Stegostoma tigrinum: one gene and its partners. The protein of the gene in region 2 interacts with the protein of the main gene of each other region in a pairwise test. Links are inferred from orthologs where the notes say so. Each region holds a gene or a part of one and is shown on either strand. Other genes may lie near its edges.

Region 1 (7,556 bases), on a different chromosome or scaffold from region 2:
CGAGAGGTGCGGGGTGGGGGGCCGAGAGGTGCGGGGTGGGGAGTGGGGGGGGGGGGGGCCCCGAGAGGTGCGGGGTGGGGGGCCGAGAGGTGGGGAGTGGGGGGGGGGGGGGGGCCCGAGAGGTGCGGGGTGGGGGGCCGAGAGGTGCGGGGTGGGGAGTGGGAGGGGGGGGGGGCCCCGAGAGGTGCGGGGTGGGGAGTGGGGGGGGGGGGGGGGCCCCGAGAGGTGCGGGGTGGGGAGTGGGGGGGGGGGGGGCCCCGAGAGGTGCGGGGTGGGGAGTGGGGGGGGGGGGGGCCCCGAGAGGTGCGGGGTGGGGAGTGGGGGGGGCCCGAGAGGTGCGGGGTGGGGAGTGGGGGGGGCCCGAGAGGTGCGGGGTGGGGAGTGGGGGGCCCCGAGAGGTGCGGGGTGGGGAGTGGGGGGGCCCCGAGAGGTGCGGGGTGGGGAGTGGGGGGGGGGGGGGGGCCCGAGAGGTGGGGGGTGGGGAGTGGGAGGGGGGCCGAGAGGTGCGGGGTGGGGAGTGGGGGGGGGGGGGGGCCCCGAGAGGTGCGGGGTGGGGAGTGGGGGGGGGGGGGGGCCCCGAGAGGTGCGGGGTGGGGAGTGGGGGGGGCCCGAGAGGTGCGGGGTGGGGAGTGGGGGGCCCCGAGAGGTGCGGGGTGGGGAGTGGGGGGGCCCCGAGAGGTGCGGGGTGGGGAGTGGGGGGGGGGGGGGGGCCCGAGAGGTGGGGGGTGGGGAGTGGGAGGGGGGCCGAGAGGTGCGGGGTGGGGAGTGGGAGGGGGGCCGAGAGGTGCGGGGTGGGGAGTGGGAGGGGGGCCGAGAGGTGCGGGGTGGGGAGTGGGAGGGGGGCCGAGAGGTGCGGGGTGGGGAGTGGGAGGGGGGCCGAGAGGTGCGGGGTGGGGAGTGGGAGGGGGGCCGAGAGGTGCGGGGTGGGGAGTGGGAGGGGGGCCGAGAGGTGCGGGGTGGGGAGTGGGAGGGGGGCCGAGAGGTGCGGGGTGGGGAGTGGGAGGGGGGCCGAGAGGTGCGGGGTGGGGAGTGGGAGGGGGGCCGAGAGGTGCGGGGTGGGGAGTGGGAGGGGGGCCGAGAGGTGCGGGGTGGGGAGTGGGAGGGGGGCCGAGAGGTGCGGGGTGGGGAGTGGGAGGGGGGCCGAGAGGTGCGGGGTGGGGAGTGGGAGGGGGGCCGAGAGGTGCGGGGTGGGGAGTGGGAGGGGGGCCGAGAGGTGCGGGGTGGGGAGTGGGAGGGGGGCCGAGAGGTGCGGGGTGGGGAGTGGGAGGGGGGCCGAGAGGTGCGGGGTGGGGAGTGGGAGGGGGGCCGAGAGGTGCGGGGTGGGGAGTGGGAGGGGGGCCGAGAGGTGCGGGGTGGGGAGTGGGAGGGGGGCCGAGAGGTGCGGGGTGGGGAGTGGGAGGGGGGCCGAGAGGTGCGGGGTGGGGAGTGGGAGGGGGGCCGAGAGGTGCGGGGTGGGGAGTGGGAGGGGGGCCGAGAGGTGCGGGGTGGGGAGTGGGAGGGGGGCCGAGAGGTGCGGGGTGGGGAGTGGGAGGGGGGCCGAGAGGTGCGGGGTGGGGAGTGGGAGGGGGGCCGAGAGGTGCGGGGTGGGGAGTGGGAGGGGGGCCGAGAGGTGCGGGGTGGGGAGTGGGAGGGGGGCCGAGAGGTGCGGGGTGGGGAGTGGGAGGGGGGCCGAGAGGTGCGGGGTGGGGAGTGGGAGGGGGGCCGAGAGGTGCGGGGTGGGGAGTGGGAGGGGGGCCGAGAGGTGCGGGGTGGGGAGTGGGAGGGGGGCCGAGAGGTGCGGGGTGGGGAGTGGGAGGGGGGCCGAGAGGTGCGGGGTGGGGAGTGGGAGGGGGGCCGAGAGGTGCGGGGTGGGGAGTGGGAGGGGGGCCGAGAGGTGCGGGGTGGGGAGTGGGAGGGGGGCCGAGAGGTGCGGGGTGGGGAGTGGGAGGGGGGCCGAGAGGTGCGGGGTGGGGAGTGGGAGAAAGAGCTGCGGGGTGGGGAGTGGGAGAAAGAGCTGCGGGGTGGGGAGTGGGAGAAAGAGGTGCGGGGTGGGGAGTGGGAGAAAGAGGTGCGGGGTGGGGAGTGGGAGAAAGAGGTGCGGGGTGGGGAGTGGGAGAAAGAGGTGCGGGGTGGGGAGTGGGAGAAAGAGGTGCGGGGTGGGGAGTGGGAGAAAGAGGTGCGGGGTGGGGAGTGGGAGAAAGAGGTGCGGGGTGGGGAGTGGGAGAAAGAGGTGCGGGGTGGGGAGTGGGAGAAAGAGGTGCGGGGTGGGGAGTGGGAGAAAGAGGTGCGGGGTGGGGAGTGGGAGAAAGAGGTGCGGGGTGGGGAATGGGAGAAAGAGGTGCGGGGTGGGGAGTGGGAGAAAGAGGTGCGGGGTGGGGAGTGGGAGAAAGAGGTGGGGGGGGGGAGAAAGAGGTGCGGGGTGGGGAGTGGGAGAAAGAGGTGCGGGGTGGGGAGTGGGAGAAAGAGGTGGGGGGGGGAGAAAGAGGTGCGGGGTGGGGGGGGGGAGAAAGAGGTGCGGGGTGGGGGGGGGGGAAAGAGGTGCGGGGTGGGGGGGGAAAAAGAGGTGCGGGGTGGGGGGGGAAAAAGAGGTGCGGGGTGGGGGGGAAAAAAGAGGTGCGGGGTGGGGGGGGAAAAAGAGGTGCGGGGTGGGGGGGGAAAAAGAGGTGCGGGGTGGGGGAGAAGAGGTGCGGGGTGGTGGGGGGAGAAGAGGTGCAGGGTGGGGGTGGAGGTGGGGGGAGAAGAGGTGCAGGGTGGGGCTGGCCCCTACCTTGGGTCCATCTGCGGAAGACGGAATCAGACAGGGCGCTGTTCGGGCGTTTCCCCCACACCAGCTCCGCCAGCTCGATGTTATACATGTCCCGGCCGCTGTGCGGAGCCACCGCCTCCGCCTCTTCTTCCTCCCCCGTGCCGTCCCCGTCCTCTCGGTAACCCGCTCCCGGCCGGTTTCTCCCTCAGGCTCCGACCGACATCTTGCAGCTCGGTAACATCCAGGAACCTCTTCCCAATAGAACCGGAACTGACAGAAATGCCGCATGCGCCTGAGACGGCCAATCATGGCCAGGGTGCGAGCGCCCCAGCTGGCGTAGGATTAAACAGCTCCTACCTACACCTCCACTGTCGTAAAGTGCAGGGAGATGTGTCCGCTAATGTCCCATCTCCAAAGACAGATTTGGTGCTTGTTTTTTGGATCTGGTAGTCATAAATTTTCAGCCGTATTGAAAGCTTGGCAAAGATCAAAAATGTTTGTAGACGTTCTTGGCTGTGAAAGAGATAGGGTCTTTTCATTTGCTCTGATGGCTATTCTTGAAATTGCATTAACAAGATAGAGTCAGACAGTACGGAATGGAATACACACTGCCCCCTCCCCTTTAAATGTTGGTTGATATTCATATTTACAATGGAGCTGATTCCTTAGAACTCTTGTCGTGTTCTGTTAATACTGTTACCTCAGAACCAGGAGGCCAGGGTTCACATCCCATCTGTTTCAGACCTGTGTCATAATGCATCTGAACAGTGACTGGAAATGAATCCTTTGGGCTGTTGACAAAATCCAAGAGTTCTGTTACAGGGTGACCAACCATCCTGTATTTTGCATTTTGTCCCACATCCTATACATTGGTTTCCCAGGACCCATTTGCCATACATTGCTCAAACAATGTTTGGGAGACTGCTGACTTGTTTACTCTTGCCACTGCCTTATATCATTTGGTATTTTGCAACGCATAACCCATATAGCTGCAGAGATGTCAATAGGAGAAGCAGTCGGCTGGTGCTATGCCTTCAGATGTCAAAGCAATTGCATTTGTTGCCAAGCCTGTGGAATTCAGCAGATGGGTGTTTGGAGTGAGACCATGGAGCCCAATTCTTCGCCTTTTTTCCATGAGATTTTACCTCTGCCAACCAATTGCGACAATTTCACACAATCTGTCTCCACCATGTCATTGCCTGCTTTAGAGTCTTGTATTTTTCGATTACGTCACCTATTCGGATCAATTAAATGGCCAGCCCATTATCAACTGTAGCTGTCTGCCATATATATTAATTGGGAGCAAGAGTGGGCCATTCAGCCCCTCAAGGTGACTCCAACATTCAACTAGATGATGGCTGATCTACTTCAACCACCATTTGTTTGACCTATCCTCATATCCCTCAATGTCTTTAATATGTAACAAACTTAATCTTGAATATACTGAACAATTGATAGCCATCTGAAGCAGAAAATTTCAAAGATTCTGTACCCTCCAAGCAAATACATTTCTCATCTTTCTCAGCCCTAAATATCCTTATCTTATTCAAAGTTTGTATCCACTAATTCTAGGCACCCCAGCCAGGAACAACAACCTTCTAGTATTTACTTTGTCAGCTTTGTAAGATTTTTGCACATTTCAATGAGATTACTTCTCATTCTTTTAATGTCCTGATAATAGAGGCCCAGTCCATTCCATCTTTCTTCATAGAGCAGTCCCTCCAGCCTAGGAATTAGTTTGATGAACCTTTAGTGCAATTCCTCTACGGTAAATGCGTCTTTCTACAGGTAATTGGAGACTAATGCTACACACAATGCTCTTGGTGTAGCCTCACCAGGCTCTATAAAAGACTACTAAATATATTTTTTAATGAAGATCAGTGTACAATTTGCTTTTTTAATTGCTTGTTGTTCTTGCATATTAACTTTCACTGATACTTAAATAATAACACCTAAGTCCCTTTGAAGTCCAACACTTTCCAGCCTATCACCAATTAAGAGGTACACCATACTTTGGTTTTTAAAAGTGGTAACTTCATTTTTCTGCACAGCGTGTTCTGACTACCTTTTTATTTGTTTATTCACTTAGCCTGTCAAAATCTCTTGAAGCCTCCTTGCATCCACCTTGACAATTTTGTTCTCATTTGCAATCTTGGAATTATTAAATTTGCTACCTGCTTCCAAATCATTGAGTTCGATTGTACATGGCTATGACTGAAACACTGATCCTTGCAGCATCCAACTAGTCACAGCCTGACAGCCTGAAACTTATCCATTTACGCCACTGTGCTCTCTGCCATGAACTAATTCTTATTCCATGCCACTGTAATCACCCCCAATCCCATGAGCTCTGCTTCTTACCATCTGTGTGGAACCTTATTAAAATTTAATTATACCACATCCACCATTTCCTATTTATCTATTTTGCTGGCTATATCCTCAAAAACATTAACAGGTTTGTCAAACATTATTTCCTTTTCAAAAATCCATTTTTACAGTGCCCAGTCCTACCATTTTATTCTTAATGCCCTGTTACTGCATCCACTATAATAGATTCTCACAATTTCCTTTGATTCAGTTGTAGATCATCTCAGATTTAGAGTTTTTCAGTTTAGCTACCAGTTAACACTTCATGACACAATCTGAGATAACAAAGTGTGGGGCTGGATAAACGCAGCAGGCCAAGCAACTTCTTAGGAGCGCAAAAGTTGACGTTTCGGGCCTATTTTTATGATGAAAGGTCTAGGCCCGAAACGTCAGCTTTTGTGCTCCTAAGATGCTGCTTGGCCTGCTGTGTTCATCCAGCTCCTCACTTTGTTATCTTGGATTCTCCAGCATCTGCAGTTCCCATTATCTCATGACACAAACTGACTTGTCACTTCAGTACTGTGGGTGTGCTGCAACATTGGTGGTGTTGTCTCTCAAACAAAACATTAAGCAGAGGCCTTTTTATCTCACTCAGTTGGATATAAAAGATGTTATTTTGAAGAAATTGAATCATCAAAGACTTGCATTTATGTGCCCCCTTTCACATTAGAAAACACTTTACAGCTAATTAGGTATTTCTGAAGGGTAGTCACTGATACAATGTGGAAATGCAGCAGCTAACTCTCAAGCAGCAAGGTCCTATACTAGCAATGTGACAATGAAAGGAAGACCGATCTTTATTTTGCAGTTATTTTATGATCACTGGATTTCTGAAAGCACATAAAAGCCAATTAAGTATTTCTGAAGCGTAGCTATCTCTGGAATGCAAAGAACAGGTAATCTATTTGTGATGTTTATTGATGAATAACTCGCTGGAGGAGAGGGTTACCATCCATTACAATAAATCACCAAGAAATACTAGTCTACCACGCATGCAAGGTTATAGAGGTTACTTATGTGGGTGAGAAATTATGTTTTCCCTCTGAAATACAAGCCAGGAAGAGAATAACTGTCAGCACATGTTCTGTTTTATTTGTCACCATATAACAGACACAAGAAAAAAATCTAGGCGCGAAGCTCTATCACCTAGTAAATGTAAGAACCACAAACCTAGATATTGATTAGAGAGGAGACTAACAAAAACAAGAACTCCAGGTACTTTGTCCTTGAGTGATACTGCCTTTGCAGTTTTGTTCAAGAAGAGGTGACATCTCATGAGAAGATGGTGTTCTACTGGTCAGACCCAGAACCGTTATATTCAAAATGACACAGAATGAATTTCTTGAGAATATACATGAAAGCCAAATGGAAGTGCTGAAGAGATAGTAGGAACTGCAGATGCTGGAGAATCTGAGATAACAAGGTGTAGAACTGGATGAACACAGCAGGCCAAACAGCATCAGAGAAGCAGGAAGGCTGACATTTCGGGCCTAGACCGTTCTTCAGAAATGATTTCTGAAGAAGGGTCTAGGCCCAGAACATCAGCTTTCCTGCTTCTCTGATGCTACCTGGTCTGCTGTGTTCATCCAGCTCTACACCTTGTTATCTCATGGAAGTGCTGAAGTATGAGTTTTGAGTCAGATCAGCTGTGTATTGGATAGTTATCTGCAAAAACATTGAAAGAGTATACACATACATTGTGTACCAGAAGTAAAGAAAACACAGTAATAAATGAAAATTATAGCTACTGAAACACCACTCAGACATTGACATGCACACTCAAGAAGAGTCTCTCTTAATAGCAGACTATTATTTCTAAGCTCTGTTTTAACTTAAAGGTGAAATGTTTGGCAGCTATAACAATCATTTAAGAAGTAATGAACAAATCCAGAATACTTGAAGAATTTACTGGACAGTATGGTTTTATGTCATCACCATATTATTCAAAGAGGGGACACAGTTTCTTAGAAAAAGAAGTCCAGATGTTCAAGGAACCTTCGGGGACTGTTGAGAGACAAAGGAAGATCTAAAAATGACTTTACTGTCAATTCAAGTGTTAGGAATGATGTCAGAGAAGAATATTGAGTCCTGTGTTCAGCAGCAGAAATCAACCTCTATTCAGAGAACCTCACCAATGCAGCATGGAAGAGGCCCTTCTCTAGAGCACTGTCCCTCTCTCAGCCAAGTGCAGCATTTTATATGTACCATGTTACAATGGTGACGTGCAACATTGATGTCATTGTTAGCTACATCCCCCTAATCTATATATCTAATCCTATAAACACACAATCAATGATGGACACCCCTATGGAGATCCCTAGGTTCTCTCACAATCTCATGATATTTACAAGATATCTTTATCATCTGTCTTTGGAATCTTACAATATATTATATTAAATTACATTACAATATTGACAGTTACCTACTCCTTCCCATGCATTAATTGCCAATCATTTAGATACTT
Region 2 (7,855 bases):
ACGTACCACCCGTGTGTGAAAAAGTTACATCGCAGGTCCTTTTTAAAGCATTTCCCTCTCACCTTAAAATTGTGTCGTCTAGCTTTGGACTCCCTAATCCATGACGCTCATGATCTTATAAACCTCTGTAAGCTCAGTCTCCAACACTCCAGGAGAAAAGAAGCCCCAATGTATTCAGTCTCTCCTTATAGCTCAAACTCTCCAGTCCTGACAACATCCTCGTAAATCTTTTCTGCACGCTCTCAAGTTTAATAACATCCATCCTATAGAAGGACAACCAGAATTGCATGCAATATTCCAAACGTGGCCTCACCAACATCCTGTACAGCTGCAACATGACATCCCAACTCTATATTCAATGTTATGACTAATGAAGGCAAGGGTGACAAATGCTTCTTCATCACCCAGTCTACCTGCACTTTCAAGGAACTATGCACCTGCACCCCTAGGTTTCTTTATTGGGCAACACTCCTCAGGGCCCTACTATAACTGTGTAAGTCCTGCTCTGGTTTGCCTTACCAAAATGCAACATGTCACATTTATCTTAAATAAACTTAATCTGCCATTTCTTGACCCAATGGCATATCCGATCACGGACCTGTTGTACTCTGAGATAATCTTCTTCATGTTCGCTACATCACCTATTTTGGTGTCATCAACAAACTTACTAACCATACCTCCTATATTCAAATCCAAGTCATTTAATTAAATGACAAAAAGCAAGGAATCAGCACTGATCCCTGCAGCACACCACCGGTCACTCGCCTCCAGTCCAAAAAGCAATATTCAACCACCACCCTGTCTCCTACTTTAAAGTCAATTTTGTATCCCATTGGCTAGCTCCCCCTGGATCCCGAGTGATCCAACGTTACTAACAACTTCACCATGCAGAACCTTGTCGCACACTTTGGTGAAGTCCACACAGACATCTACTGCTTTGCCCGCATCAACCTTGTCTGTCGCCTATTCAAAATACTCAATCTAATTAGTAAGACACATAAAGCTATGCTGACTATCCCTAATCACACACTGCCTTTCCAAATATATGTAAATCCTGTCCCTCAGAATCCCCTCCAGCACCTTACCTACCACTGATGCAAAGCTCACTGGTCTCTAGTTCCCTGGCTTTGCTTACGGCCTTTCTTAAATAACAGCACCACATTAGCCAACCTCCGTGATCACCCATAACTACTGATGATACAAATATCTCAGCAAAGGTGACCACCAATTTTATTCCAGCTTCCCACAATGTTCTGGGAAACAGCTGACCAGGTCGTGGGGATTTATCTACATTTATGTATTTTAAGATCTCCAGCACTTCCTCCTAAAACAGAGAACAGTACAGGCCCTTTGGCCCACGATGTTGTGCTGACCTATTATCCCACTAAGATCAACCTACCCTGCAAACCCTACATTTTGCTATCCTCCATGTTCCTATCCAAGAGTCACTTAAAAGTCTCTGAAGTATCTGACTCCACTACCACTGCCAGAAGTGCATTCCACATGCCCACCACATATGACATCTCCCCTGTACCTTCCTCCAATCACCTTAAAACTATGCCCCCTCATAATAGTCATTTCTGTCATATCAACCTTTTCCAAGCCACCTCCATTTATTTCCAAGTTCCATTTCCTTCTTCACATTAAGTACTGAAGTAAAATACTAGTCATTCATAGTCAATACTTTTATTTCATGCTTAAAAGGCCTCCCACTTCCCAAACAAATTCACTTTACCTGGAAGGAAAACAAAGTTCCCGGAAAAACACAGCAGATCTAGCAGCATCTGGGGACAGTGGTCCCTCCTCAGAACTGCTGCCAGATCTGCTGAGCTTTTCCAGCAACGTTGTTTTCGTTCCTGATTTACAGCATCCATAGTTCTTTGGTTTTCACTTTACCTGTGAATAGCTTTCCCCAATCAACTTTTGGAAGTTCCTGTGTAATACCTTCCAAATTGGCCTCAATCCGATTTACAAATTTAAATTGTAAAATCAGTTCCATCCTTTTCCATAACTATTTTAAAACCAGCAGAATTGAGACCACTTGCCCCAAAGTGCTCTCCCACTGACACCTCTATCACCTGCTCTCCCTTATTTCCCAACTGAAGGTCAAGTATTGCTCCTTCTCTAATAGATACATCCATGGTGAATAAGAAAGTTTTTTTGTACACACTTAACAAATTTGTTCCATCCAAACCCTTAATACTACGACAGTCCCAGTCTGTGTTTGGATAGTTAAAATCCCTAACCAATACAACACTATTTGCTTATAGATTATCTGAGATCTCTGTGCATATTTGCTTCTCAACTTCCCACTGACTATGGGGCGGGGGCGCTATTAACAATCCCAACAAGATAATCATCCCTTTCTCATTTTAAATTCTTCCCCACTATAACCTCATTGGACGATCTCCCAGCAATTAACTCCCTATCCAAAAGAACCACACTTCTCCTTCTGATAACATCTACAGCCTGGAACATGAAGCTGCTAGTCCTGTTTACCTTTGAACCATGTTTCTGCAGCGGCTATGACATGCCGGTCCCAACCAAGCCCTGGGTTCATCTCCCTTACCTGTCAGGCCTCTTGTATTGAAGTAAATGGAGTTGGGCGAGGGATTGTGAGGGTTTGAGAGGGCTGTTGATGGGGAGGTGAGGGTCGTTGACTGGAGGCATGTGAGAGATGTTAGGGTGGTTGTGAGGTGGGGGGGTAAATGAGTACAGTGTTGAACCCCCTTCCCTCCCTCACCGTCTGCTCGGGGTCGATCTCGATTCTGAACGTTTGCTGCTGCAGCGTTTTCACGGTGATGAACATGGTGACGGTCTCCTTCCCCCTTACCTCCCCTCGCCGGGGAGGTGGAAGGGAAGTGGAACCGCCGCCGGGTGGGTTTTTTTAAAAAAGGCGATTAAAACAAAAAAAAAATCAAGTAATCCCGCTCCTCCGCCACCTGCGGTTTGCTCGAAGATTCCACCAAGGCCCCACTGCTTCAAGCCACCACCGCCATCTTTACGCAAACGCTACGCTGGCGTAACGTCATTGCCATGGCGACCGGGCTATCTCACGTGGTGTGTGGCCTTCCACTAAAGTCGGAGGGAAGATGTGCCAACTCGGACTCGTTACTTGTCTCAATGCCTGACAACTGTGCAATTAAGTTTCAATGTGCAAACGATAATGGAAATAAGAAACTTGCATTTATATTGAGGATAGGCAGTAGCAGCGTACTAATGTCACAAACAAATCATCCAGAAGTCCAGGCACTGCAGAGGCAGGTATAGGGTTTTGGGGGGGGGGGGGGGGGTGTGGGGAAAAGGTTCACTCTCCTGTTGCTGTATCTGCAGGGATTATAAATTGGTTCAAAAATATTTTTTAAGAAGAAAATCAAGACAACAATCAAGGCAGCTGGCAGAATTTAAAATTTAATAAAATGCATCAGTGACCATATCTTGCATCAGAGTTCCTGCTGCTAGGTTAGCAGGCCAGGTGCAAGTCCCACATTTTCCAAATGTAATATTGATTAGAAAATATCTGGGATATATCTCTGGTCATGGATAACACCATATGAAGCTGGATGAACACAACAGGCCAAGCAGCATCACAGGGGCAGGAAAGTTGACATTTCAGGTGGCCTTGACCCAAAATGTCAACTTTCCTGCTCCTCTGATGCTGCTTGGCCTGCTGTGTTCATCCAGCTTCATCCATGTTGTCTCAGATTCTCCAGCATCAGCAGTTCCTACTATCCATGTCTCCATCATGGCAGCTTTCTAAGGTTGGAATTATGAACAAAATGCACTGTAGGACCACCTCAACACATTCTAAGCAGCTCAAAGCACTCCACTGCATCACATTTAAAAAAAAAATCAGGTTAATAGCTCTGATGAGCACCACTCACTGAAACATGTCAGAAGTCATATGGGACCAGGTTTATCTGAAGTAACAAACCTTCCAAATGCAATCACCTGATGAAGGATCAGTGCTCCAAATACTGGTGATTTCAAATAGACCTGTTGGATTGTAACTGGGTGTTGTATGACTTCTGACTTTAAGCGTAGAAAACTTCGTCAGGGACTTGCGACAAAATTTTCTTTGGATTACTGAGCAGGACAGCATTATCTGAATGCAAACTGCATAAGTGTTAGAAAATGTTGCCCAAATTCATCCCCACCGTGGCTCCATTTTGAAGCCTCAAAACTGTTTCAGTCCGTCTGTCAAGAATGTGGCAGGGGAGAAGGACAGAGTAAGGGGACAGTCTGTCATAGCGCTTAACCTAAATTCCAACTTACAAACCTACTTGGGAGTCCAACTCTCACTTTTGAGACTCCTGTAATATTGTGAACTCAAAATGAAAGACAGGTGTCTTCAGGAAATATTGTCAAAATAAAGAATTACCTTTTAAATCAAGTCAAGTGATAGACAAGTACTGAAATGTGACATAGCTGATCAAAAGCAATGATTTCTGCATGTATAGGAGATCTGCTTTACATAGAGGGCTTGAACTGGGATTGACAACACTGCAACCATGCTCCAGCACCTCAGCCTGTAGGGTTTTTCTTTGAAAAAAAGATTGCTGTTAAAAAAAAATCTCTCCTGGCTCAAATGGTTTTTCTGGAGCAAATGACTGCTATTTGTGCAGTCTGAAGTCTTGTACAAAACCTACTTCCAGTAATTACACTCTTCACTCCCAAAAAAAAAGTGAAGTTCATGCATTTTCCATAGTTTGAAAAGCAAACAAAGTGCAAGTCTAGTACATAACTAGGGGACATAATCCTTACTTCTAAATTTAGGAGCTTGCTTTTAATTTAAAAAAAAATTACAACTTGAAAAATGCTCAACCAGAAAGTGGAAGCAGAATCTAGTGGCTTATTATGGAAGTAAAATTTTCAATATTTATCCAAAATAGAAATGGTGGGATTGCAGGGGTTAATTATCTATTAAGAGGTGATAGACAAATTCATTCTATGCTGCAAAACTCTGTTTTAATGAGTTAAGAGGTCAGTTCAGGAGGTGTGGAAATTGGTTACTCACAGGGATATCTAATAGAATCAATTGGAGAGAAAACCACCAACATGGAAAGAATTGCCATCTGACAAAAGCGCTCTTCATGGAGTTCAATTACCTTATTCTGTAGTCAAGAACATAGCAGTTGGAAAGCATCATAGCAGGACTAGACCATTCAGCATCAGGCTTTGTAATAAAAAGGTCGCCAATTTGTTTTACATGCATGCTATTTCTGATGAATAAAATGGTACCCAGGTCCCTCTGAACGGCAAGCTTTCAGGATCTTGACCCTTGAAAAAAATTTCTTTATGCACAAATCCAAACTGGATAACTTATCATAATTAACATCTGCCATGCCCATTTGATGACTTTAGCCCTTTGCAGTTTGTTTCTCCTCAATTTAATTTTCTGCATATTATAACAGTCTTTGTTAGGATTATCCTCTGACCCTCTGTATTAATTGATATTACAATTAGCTAAAATCCAACACTGATTCTTGCATTAATCTCACTGGCTACAGCCAGGCAACCCAAATGGCTTGTCCAATTCCAGCTTTATTAACCAATGAATCCACACTTTACCACCCCCAATACCAAAAGTCCATGAAATTCAAAGGACTAAGAACTATTCCAAACTGAAAAGGAAAGAACAAACAATTATTTCACTTCCATTGGTATTTATTGTAGAAATGTGATCAAACATACTTCTGTATTGCACACAGAACAAGTTTTCCCCAAACAGTCATCAATTAAATCACCAATTTACAACATTTAAATAACAGATTAAAATGACAACTTTAGACTTGGTCTGTACAGAATTTAAGTCTCCTTTTGAATGTTGTTGGAAATAAAGAAATTTTTCCCCCTCCTTTTCATGAAACCCCCATATAAAGAATGCAAAATACAAAGGCAAAGTTGACCCTGGATTTGGAAAGAGCCGATAAACATCCATTTATATAACCAGTGCAGTCCTGCTCTACCCAATTGTTCTGAATGGAAAAGGCAGCTATACAATTACACCTACAGTTGAAGCCCGTTAAACAGGGGCACCCCGCACCCCCCCCCCCACCTCAAATGGAAGTGAAATTGGTCAATTTAAATCATACCATCCCCAATGTTAATTCCCATCAGATTTTAGTTACACCTGGGAACTGAGTGGTTCTCAAAAACCAAAAAGAGAGATCTTATAAAGCAGTACAGCCTGGAAGTTAACTGGCATCAACTGTAGAATCTCAAACATGCTCAAGTACACTGTTCAGTTGTATCATGTTTACCTAGACAAAGACACAAAACAAGCTAACCTAACAGCACTGGAACCCAAAATTTGGAAATTACTGGCAGCAAGCAAATAGATTTGGGCTTCTACCAAATTTTAAACTGAAGGGTTGACCAATTTAAAAAAGCTAACACCTCAGTTGAAAAACAGCATAAACGTGCTCAGATGATTTCTAGGATTATTAAATGTGGCATGTTCAAGATGCAAGACACAACAGCCCAAGTTCCACTCAGGTTTGATCCTTCCCTACCCACCATTATGAAGCTGACTTCTAGTTACCAAATTTTTAATAAGGAAGGTTTAGAAATTTCAGCAGTCCCTTCCTCAGTGGATATATTCTCATGTTCACTTACTGCCCCAACCCTAAAAGCCTGACATTTCCCCCCCCCCCCGCCAATTTGTTCATAAACAAAAAACATTCCAATAAGGGGTCCCAGTTGCTATGTGTAACTTTTCTGCACATTGCCCTGCTGCCATTCATTCTCAGCATTTATTACAATCTTTATAACTCATCCTTTTGAACGGTTTCTGTTTCTTCTTCCTCCTCCTCCTCATCTTCCTCTTTTTCTTCCTTCTCTTCATCCTCATCCTCCTCATCCCCCTCAGCATCATCCTCCTTATCCTTCTCTTCCTCCTCTCTCTTCTTTCTCTCCTCTTCATCCTGTTGCTCTTTCATTTTCTTTTCTGGCTCCTGAAAAGACAATTTAAAGACAGACAGAGTCATTGAGTTGGGAATGGGTATGGAGAGTTGGGTGGAAAATAGAACATTCAAATACGAGAGGGGAAGGGGGGGGGGAGGAGAGGGGAAGGGGGGGGGGAGGAGAGGGGAAGGGGGGGGGGAGGAGAGGGGAAGGGGGGGGGGAGGAGAGGGGAAGGGGGGGGGGAGGAGAGGGGAAGGGGGGGGGGAGGAGAGGGGAAGGGGGGGGGGAGGAGAGGGGAAGGGGGGGGGGAGGAGAGGGGAAGGGGGGGGGGAGGAGAGGGGAAGGGGGGGGGGAGGAGAGGGGAAGGGGGGGGGAGGAGAGGGGAAGGGGGGGGGGAGAGGAAGGGGGGGGGGAGAGGAAGGGGGGGGGGAGAGGAAGGGGGGGGGGAGAGGAAGGGGGGGGGGAGAGGAAGGGGGGGGGGAGAGGAAGGGGGGGGGGAGAGGAAGGGGGGGGGGAGAGGAAGGGGGGGGGGAGAGGAAGGGGGGGGGGAGAGGAAGGGGGGGGGGAGAGGAAGGGGGGGGGGAGAGGAAGGGGGGGGGGAGAGGAAGGGGGGGGGGAGAGGAAGGGGGGGGGGAGAGGAAGGGGGGGGGGGAGAGGAGGGGGGGGGGAGAGGAAGGGGGGGGGAGAGGAAGGGGGGGGGAGAGGAAGGGGGGGGGAGAGGAAGGGGGGGGGAGAGGAAGGGGGGGGGAGAGGAAGGGGGGGGGAGAGGAAGGGGGGGGGAGAGGAAGGGGGGGGGAGAGGAAGGGGGGGGGAGAGGAAGGGGGGGGGAGAGGAAGGGGGGGGGAGAGGAAGGGGGGGGGAGAGGAAGGGGGGGGGAGAGGAAGGGGGGGGGAGAGGAAGGGGGGGGGAGAGGAAGGGGGGGGGAGAGGAAGGGGGGGGGAGAGGAAGG
Region 3 (7,716 bases), on a different chromosome or scaffold from region 2:
GGGATGGGATGGGTCTAGCTGAGATGTTCTTCAGAGACTGTGTGACCCCGTTGAGCCAAATTGCCTGTTTCCCCATGTAAGGATTCTATGGAAATTTATGGATATTGCCAGTATAAGAGGGGGGGAAAAAAGGGCAAAATATATGAAAATGTTAGCAATTAACAAATTAAATCCAAAAATACTAGATCAACATATTGCCACGATCCCGGCTGATAGCTATACTGGATATGTCAGATCTAAATACGAAATTTGGCTTGAAAGATCAAAAAGTTTATTTTTACAGTAGCTTACCACTGCAGTCAGGCATTGAACATATTCACGTAAAGCTGTTATGGTTCTTTTACTACAAGAACTCACGTTTATTAAACTAAAAAAGCTATCCAACAATTTAGAAAAATTTTAATATCAACAGCAAAACAAAGTTTCAAACTTTCCCAGCTATTATTTACAGATGCTCATAGTTTAGTATTACTCCCATCTTAACTAATTTCTTAATTACTGTCTCCAGTTCCGATGGCCTCAGGGCTTCCCTCCAGATTCAACAGCTTGAAACTGTTACTCAAACTCTGGCAGCTTGGAGACTTCATAAAATAAAAATCATTCTGCTGAGATGAAACTGAAATCTGATACTCCTGAACTGAACTCAAACCTAAGCACCAGTGATTCCTGGTCATTTATTTTTCTGCATGTCATAAACTTAGCAACGTAAACACCTCATTAAGTAACACCACCGGTATCTGGCTTGGCACTTACTAAGCCACATGCTTCCTTAGAAATTCTATTTAGGTCATTTCTGCCACTAACTCTGACCTCTCCAAAACAAAACTGAAACGCAATTCCATTTGCCTCTATTTTTGAAATTCAAATTCCCAAATGATAAAAGTGCAAAATAAATATTTTCACAATATGAAGCAATATAAAGATTGAGATTGGTTAAGGATGAAACAGAAATTAGACATTCTGAAAAGGGATAACATTAAAGTTGCAGCGAGGAGGCAGTCAAGATGCTGGATTAGAAAAGGAAAAATAGAAATGTGATGCCAAGTTAGGTAGACAGCAGATGCTCTGATCACAATCTTCAATTCTTCTTTGGACATTGAAGTACTGGCAATAGGTTTACATGTTATGGCATTGTCGCCTCTTGGTTCAAAAACATTTGGGGAAGGACTGCATCTGTGGTACAAAAGCTAATTGAGACAAATTCCCACTTTTTCAAGACAAAATCAGAGCTAACTAATCTAGATTGAGTTACTTGATGATCTAAAAGAAGATTGAAGAAGCTGGTGCAATTGATGTGTAATATGAACTTTCAAAAGATATTTGATAAAGAATAACCTAATAGACTTAAACATAACTACATGATATGAAAAGGGGACAATGGTAATATGGTAATGAAATTGGCTGGGAGATAGCAGGCAACGGCCAAGTTACTTTTGACTGAAGATAGCATTCAACAGGGTTCCCACCCACTCATCCACTTAAGGGTCAGTATTAGGATTACTGTATTTTTGCAGTTTGCATTAATAGCCTAGACCTACCTATAACATACAATTTTGATGTTTGCAATTGATATATACATGGCAACACAATGTGCAGTAAACAGAAGAGCCACACTTTAGCAAGACATTGATGAAATGAGCACACACAACTTACTATCAGTAGAATGCAGTTTAGCATAAATGATCTGGAGAGGCAGTATGATGTAAATTATACCATTCTAAAGGGTGCAGAGAAGTGGGATCTGCACGTTCACACACAGTGGCAGGGAAGGTTAATGATGTAAATAAGAAAGCATGAACACTTGGCTTAATGAATAGTGACAACAAAATAAGGACGTTACATTCAACCTTTACAAGTCTACAATTAGACCGCATCTGCAGCACTGCAAATTATTCCGGGGAAAACCAAACACCTTAGGAAGAACGTCACAATCCTGGAAAGACTAAAGAAGAATTTCCACATTGGGGTTTTGGACACCACGCAAGAATGCGAGGCAAGATATCGGGGTCTCCAAGCAATTCTGGCTGTGGCCAGTAGGAGGTTTAGACCGATTCCTGACAGATGAGAGATTTCTTAAAACCCTCTGGGTGTTCTCCCAGTGGGCACGGCCTGACAGAGTGCTTTCTGAGATAATGGGAACTGCAGATGCTGGAGAATCCAAGGCAATAAAATGTGAGGCTGGATGAACACAGCAGGCCCAGCAGCATCTCAGGAGCACAAAAGCTGACATTTCGGGCCTGGACTCTCTGATGAAGGGTCCAGGCCCGAAACGTCAGCTTTTGTGCTCCTGAGATGCTGCTGGGCCTGCTGTGTTCATCCAGCCTCACATTTTATTGCCTCAGAGTGCTTTCTGAGTTCTGATTACTGCTGCAAAAGAATCAGCCTCTGATACTATAACAGTGTGTCGAAGCCCAGCCAAACTTCCCACGTACACCCCTCTCGCCCAGAACACAACAATCGAAACCTTTCCTTCAACCTATGAGAAAGGTGGTAACTCGGGGAGTGAATCGACCCATCGAAACAACACATTGGGATAGGGAGAAAATAACGTATGTTAACCTTGAATCCAACTTCACTCTCTGAGGGCGACCTGAACGGAGCCGGCGGCTGAGCGCTACCATTTTCAACACCCTCCCCCGCAAACCGGGACCTAGCCCTTACCTCAGGATGTTGTCGGCATATTTCAGCAGCAGCTCTGAAGCGTCCAGGAAGATGTGCTCGGGATTCTGGCTCAGCTCGCTCACAGCCACCGACACCGACACCATGGTGGACAGGCTATGGACTGCAGCCCACAGGAGAGGGCGCTTTAACTCCCCTTCCTCGACGAACAGCTGCTCCTGTGTATTCAGACGGCAGACAATCTCCAATTTAAAAAGAAAACCGGAATACCGACAACCGCTCGGCTGTCTGAGGAAAGAAACTGAAATAACCTCCGTTCAGGAAGTGATGACGCTGCATTAGCGCCGCTCTTGCCCCTTTCGGGTTGATGCTCTTTGGTTTTGGGCGGACAACCTCCTGCTCCGCCCACGTCGTGACGTCGTGGCACGGCCATGGCTGAGTTGCGCCTGCGCCTCAGGGAGTTGGTGAGTGAGCGTAGACGAATCTGAAAAGTTGCTTCTGTCTCTTTGTTCACGAGTCCTTCTCTAAAAATATTTCCCGTGTTTTCTTACATTTTATTTTGTGTTTACTTATGTTTCGTCCAAAGGACGGCTCCTCCTCAGTCTTGTTTATTTTAGAAACTGAAAGTAGTAGTGCTGATCCATCTTTCGGGGAATTGAAGGGTCTAGGCCCGAAACGTCTGCTCTTGTGCTCCTGAGATGCTGCTTGGCCTGCTGTGTTCATCCAGCTCCACACTTTGTTATCTGAGGGCCCAAGTACTTCTGTTTCCAAGTTTCTTATATTGTTAAAAAAAATCACGATCCTAACTAGTTTTGACGACAAGTCACAGAACGCTTTTTTCTCTCCACACGGAAAACTGCTGACATGCTGAGCCTTTCCAATACTTGGAACTAACCTTTTGCTGGTCTTCCAAAAAATACTTAAGACTTCTTGTGATCTTCTCGTTCCCCTTCAATAAGGATCCCGGCAACACCTACCTGAGATAGTAGGAACTGCAGATGCTGGAGAATCAGTAGACCTGGATGAACACAGCAGGCCAAGCAGCGTCAGAGGAGCCGGAAAGCTGACGTTTCGGGTCGAGACCCTTCTGAGATCTGTTTTGGGTATATAAAATAACTTGCTAAGCAAAATAATAAATTGATTAAAAATGAGTAATTCATAAAATAATCATTTAAAAGCTATCTAGAAGTTTAATAAGATTTTTGCTCTACCTTTTCATTTAACTCCAGAAATAGAGCTAGAGAGAGATAGGCAAGGCTCCAAATCTTGATCAATGAAGAACGGAAGCAGACAGAGGACTTTAGGACTTGTTCTGGATCCAATTCATCCATTCTGACCAGATATCCTAAATTAATCTTGACCCATTTGCCTGCATTTGGCCCATATCTCTCTAAACCTTCCTCCTCATGTACCCATCCAAATGCCTTTTAAATGGTGTAATTGTAGCTGCCTCCAAAATTTCTTCTGACAGCTCATTCCATGCACACGTCATCCTCAGCATGAAAAACTTGCCCCTTAATCCCTTTTAAATCTTTTCCTCACTCACCTTCAACCTATGCCCTTTCTAATGTTGAGTTAGCCTTGGGGGGGTGTACATTCCAAACTGACCTTGGTGGAATTCATGTGAAAATGAGGTTTGGAAGTGGCTTGTCTTTCATCCTGTCCTGGCTTGTTGTGTAAATAGATGTTTGTTGAATGAGGAGGGGCGTGTGTGTGTGCATGTGTCCGCAATGAGCAGCCTCTGTCTTGAGTGTGTACGCTCACTGTCACTCGAACTTCGGTGGAGTGGGGGCACAAAGTGTGACACTGATCTGACAGGGCACACAGAACAAACATGTGGGTTGGGGGGACATGTGAAGTATCACACTGAACTATCTGGGGCAAAGAGTCTCATAAACTGTGGTGACTGCAGGGAAAAGCACCCCCCTGGGTGTACTTTTAGCCATGTATTCAAACGTATGCTTCCAGTACATGGAAAAGTTTAAGGCTGGGACATCTGAACAATTTAAGGAAACTGTCAGGACACACACCAACATCTGGTCACCCTATTTGAGAGGCTCATGATGGTGATATCTCATGCGTAATGTCTTCTCCCCACTCCTAGGCCAGTACGCCCTTGGGGATTGGTGTCCAATATTCTTGGCCTTCAGCAATGGCCACCTTATTGTGTAGTCAAATTGATTTGAGCATGTTTAAGAATGTTTTACATTTTGGTTACAAATTGATAGCGTAGGTAACAATTCCTTCATTGTAATTTTGCATACAAGAAGCTCATTTGAAAGGTGAAATAACAGATCACTTTCTCAATGTAAGCCTGGAGCTACAAAATAGACAACTTGCTGCAAGGACAAGTTTTAATGAATAAATTCAAATATTCGTTACATTTTATTTAACTGAATTAGGGTCAACTCTAAATAGCTATTCTGTGTAATATCTAAACCTATAATGTATTAAAAAGTGTTTTATTTATGTATATTTCCTATCTTGATAAAACTATCGTCATTATGGATTACTATATTTTTTTATTAGTGAGAGTTATCTTTGTAAATGCATCATATTTAAATTATACCTCTCAACCAGTAGTGGGATCGTGGTACGATCACTGCAGCAAAGACTCTGCTTTTGAGATTTGTCGTAACAATCATGAATAATATAAACTCGTTTCCACACCGTAGGGAATCTAATCTAATCTAAAGACATAGTGTTTGACTTTAAAATGAGAACTGGGTTATGTCTATGCCCCAGTCAAATTTCCCAATGATTACATCTGTACTTATCTAAAATATGATTTTGAAATACAGTCACTTATTTGTGCATTTACATGATTCATTTAAACTTTGAATTGCCCAATGCTGACAGCCTTCTAGAACCGAGGATCGGTGATAGACGAGAATGCCTTAGTCAATAGTACTGAACAATGTGAAAAATCCAGGAATGACCCATTTCCTCCACAGTCACATCAATTTAAGGCCATTTATGATATTGGTCATTATGCTGTTGTTAACTTTAGCCACACTGCAGGAATTCACATTTGAGCTAATGGCATGTTTAACAACGTTAAACATTTAAAAAATGGGAAAGTGTTGATAGTATCTGAACATTGAATGACATTTGCAAACAGGAGGGGGCAGTTGAAGATGGAAGAATTAGGATGTCGATTTCATGAAAAAAACTAAACATAAAAGGCAGAGAGGAGATGAAAGAAAAACCACCATAATAAGGATTTGAAATGAGGTGAGGAGTAATTGGCACAGTGATGTTTGAAACCCATATGCTGCTTGCATTTGATTGAAAAGAGTGCAGATGAGCAGTGGAATAAAGAGATGATTTTTGTTGGACAAAGAAAGGCTGAGGGTTGTCATGCCTTCCAAGATGGTCTTATAGTATTTTTTTTTCCTTATTCTTTCATGGAATGTGGGTGTCACTTGCAAGGCCAGTATTTATTGTCTATCCCTCATTGCCCTTGAAATGAGTGGCTTACTTGATTATTTCACAAGGCAATTAAGAGTCACCCACATTGCTGTAGTTCTGGAGTCACATGTAAGCCAAAGCAGGTGAAGATGGAAGATTTCCTTACCCTTATGGCATTAGAGAACCAGATAGGTTTTCATGCCAATAGGTAGTTTCATCATCATCTTCGCTGAGATCACCTTTCAATTCTAGATGTTTATTAGTTTCATTCAAGTTCCCCCAGTTGTTATGGTGAAATTTATACATGACAATTGGTTTGTGTGTCTGGATCAGAAATCTGTAGATTGTGAAGAAGGGTCCAGAGCCAAAACGTCAGCTTTTCTACTCCTCTGATGCTGCCTGCCCTGCTGTGTTCTTCCAGCTCTATACCTTGTTATCTCACAACACAACGCCATGATCTGTTATGCAATATGATCCTGTTAGGACAAGATACTGAATACAGATTAGGGTGTGTTCCTCATATTATCAAAGTTAAATTGAAAGGTAAGTTAATCAGCAGTCTGTTCCCCATGTCCCACCCCCATTAAAAACTTGTTTTGAGGCAGTGTTGAGGGAGTAGAGAAACAGAGTTTGAGTGCTCCCTAATTTTTGACAGGAATGGTGATGTGTGCATTTTTTGGGGGGAAAAAAGAGTTGCATGAAAAATAAACACAACAGAATAAGTGCACAAAAATCAGAAGCAATATAACTTTCCAGAGTGTCTTTATTTCAATGTTATATTTAGTTGAACTTGATCTCTTATGAACTGTTCAATCACAGTTGAAAATGGAATAAATTTTAGGGGAGGCAATGGCCTAGTTGTATTATCACTGGACTGTTAATCAAGAGACCTGGATAATGTTCTGGGGACCTGGGTTCAAATCCCACCCTGGTAGATGGTGGAATTTGAATTCAATAAAAATATCTGGAATTAAGAATCTAATGATGACCATGAATCTATTGCCGATTGTCAGGAAAACGTATCTGCTTCACTAATGTTCTTTAGGGAAGGAAACTGCCATCCTTACCTGGTCTGCCCTACATGTGACTCCAGACCCACAGTAATGTATTTGACTTTGAGCTACCCTCTGGGCAATTAGGGATGGACAATAAATGCTGTCTAGCAAGCAACATCCTCACCCCATTAATGAATAAAGAAATTATCACAGTTTGTAATTAAACATTATTATCCTAAGCATGCATTCTGTCTTCAAGAAAACTTACATTGCAAAGATTTGAAATTTGGTTTTTCACAACTATTTGCTTACTACTTGCAGATTTTTTAATGATTTTCCTGTGCATCTTTACTGTTCACAGTAAAACCAAGTGCATTTTCTTGCCAACGTTGTGGATAAAAGCTAAAAGATATGTTGCTGCAAAGGAAGAAGCTGCTAACAAAGGTTTTCTGGTATCAACTGTTGAATCTCAAGAATACAAGATCAGAATTGAATGCACGTTGTTTCGCAAGTACCAACCATCCAAAACGTCGAAGGCGAGTTGTCATTACTGGGATTGGCTTAGTGTCTCCACTTGGAGTCGGTACTCAACTCACATGGAACCGAATCTTGAAAGGAGAGAGTGGTGTTATTTCTTTAGATGAGTCACAGTATAGAGACTTGCCTTGCACAATAGCTGCTTGTGTGCCTC

Evidence for each region. The genes of interacting proteins can lie anywhere in the genome.
Region 1: the proteins of UV excision repair protein RAD23 homolog A-like (region 2) and mindy3 interact in binary tests that used the Homo sapiens proteins (3 or more experiments, as listed by UniProt). The two-hybrid records come from large-scale screens. The link is inferred for Stegostoma tigrinum from reciprocal best matches to the Homo sapiens genes RAD23A and MINDY3.
Region 3: the proteins of UV excision repair protein RAD23 homolog A-like (region 2) and ngly1 interact in binary tests that used the Homo sapiens proteins (3 or more experiments, as listed by UniProt). The two-hybrid records come from large-scale screens. The link is inferred for Stegostoma tigrinum from reciprocal best matches to the Homo sapiens genes RAD23A and NGLY1.

The regions. Positions count from the first base shown.
Region 1 is NC_081355.1:111,965,292-111,972,847, reverse strand, and holds the start of mindy3 (ubiquitin carboxyl-terminal hydrolase MINDY-3), read right to left. Parts: upstream 3,002-7,556; 5' UTR 2,835-3,001; coding exon 2,747-2,834; intron 1-2,746. UniProt on the Homo sapiens protein: Hydrolase that can remove 'Lys-48'-linked conjugated ubiquitin from proteins.
Region 2 is NC_081388.1:16,541,161-16,549,015, forward strand, and holds the start of UV excision repair protein RAD23 homolog A-like, read right to left. Parts: upstream 3,015-7,855; 5' UTR 2,810-3,014; coding exon 2,744-2,809; intron 1-2,743. Other genes in the region: calreticulin-like, read right to left, coding at 6,768-6,956. UniProt on the Homo sapiens protein: Multiubiquitin chain receptor involved in modulation of proteasomal degradation. Binds to 'Lys-48'-linked polyubiquitin chains in a length-dependent manner and with a lower affinity to 'Lys-63'-linked polyubiquitin chains.
Region 3 is NC_081355.1:63,429,863-63,437,578, reverse strand, and holds the start of ngly1 (peptide-N(4)-(N-acetyl-beta-glucosaminyl)asparagine amidase), read right to left. Parts: upstream 3,002-7,716; 5' UTR 2,766-3,001; coding exon 2,662-2,765; intron 1-2,661. Other genes in the region: oxsm (3-oxoacyl-[acyl-carrier-protein] synthase, mitochondrial), read left to right, coding at 7,437-7,716. UniProt on the Homo sapiens protein: Specifically deglycosylates the denatured form of N-linked glycoproteins in the cytoplasm and assists their proteasome-mediated degradation. Cleaves the beta-aspartyl-glucosamine (GlcNAc) of the glycan and the amide side chain of Asn, converting Asn to Asp.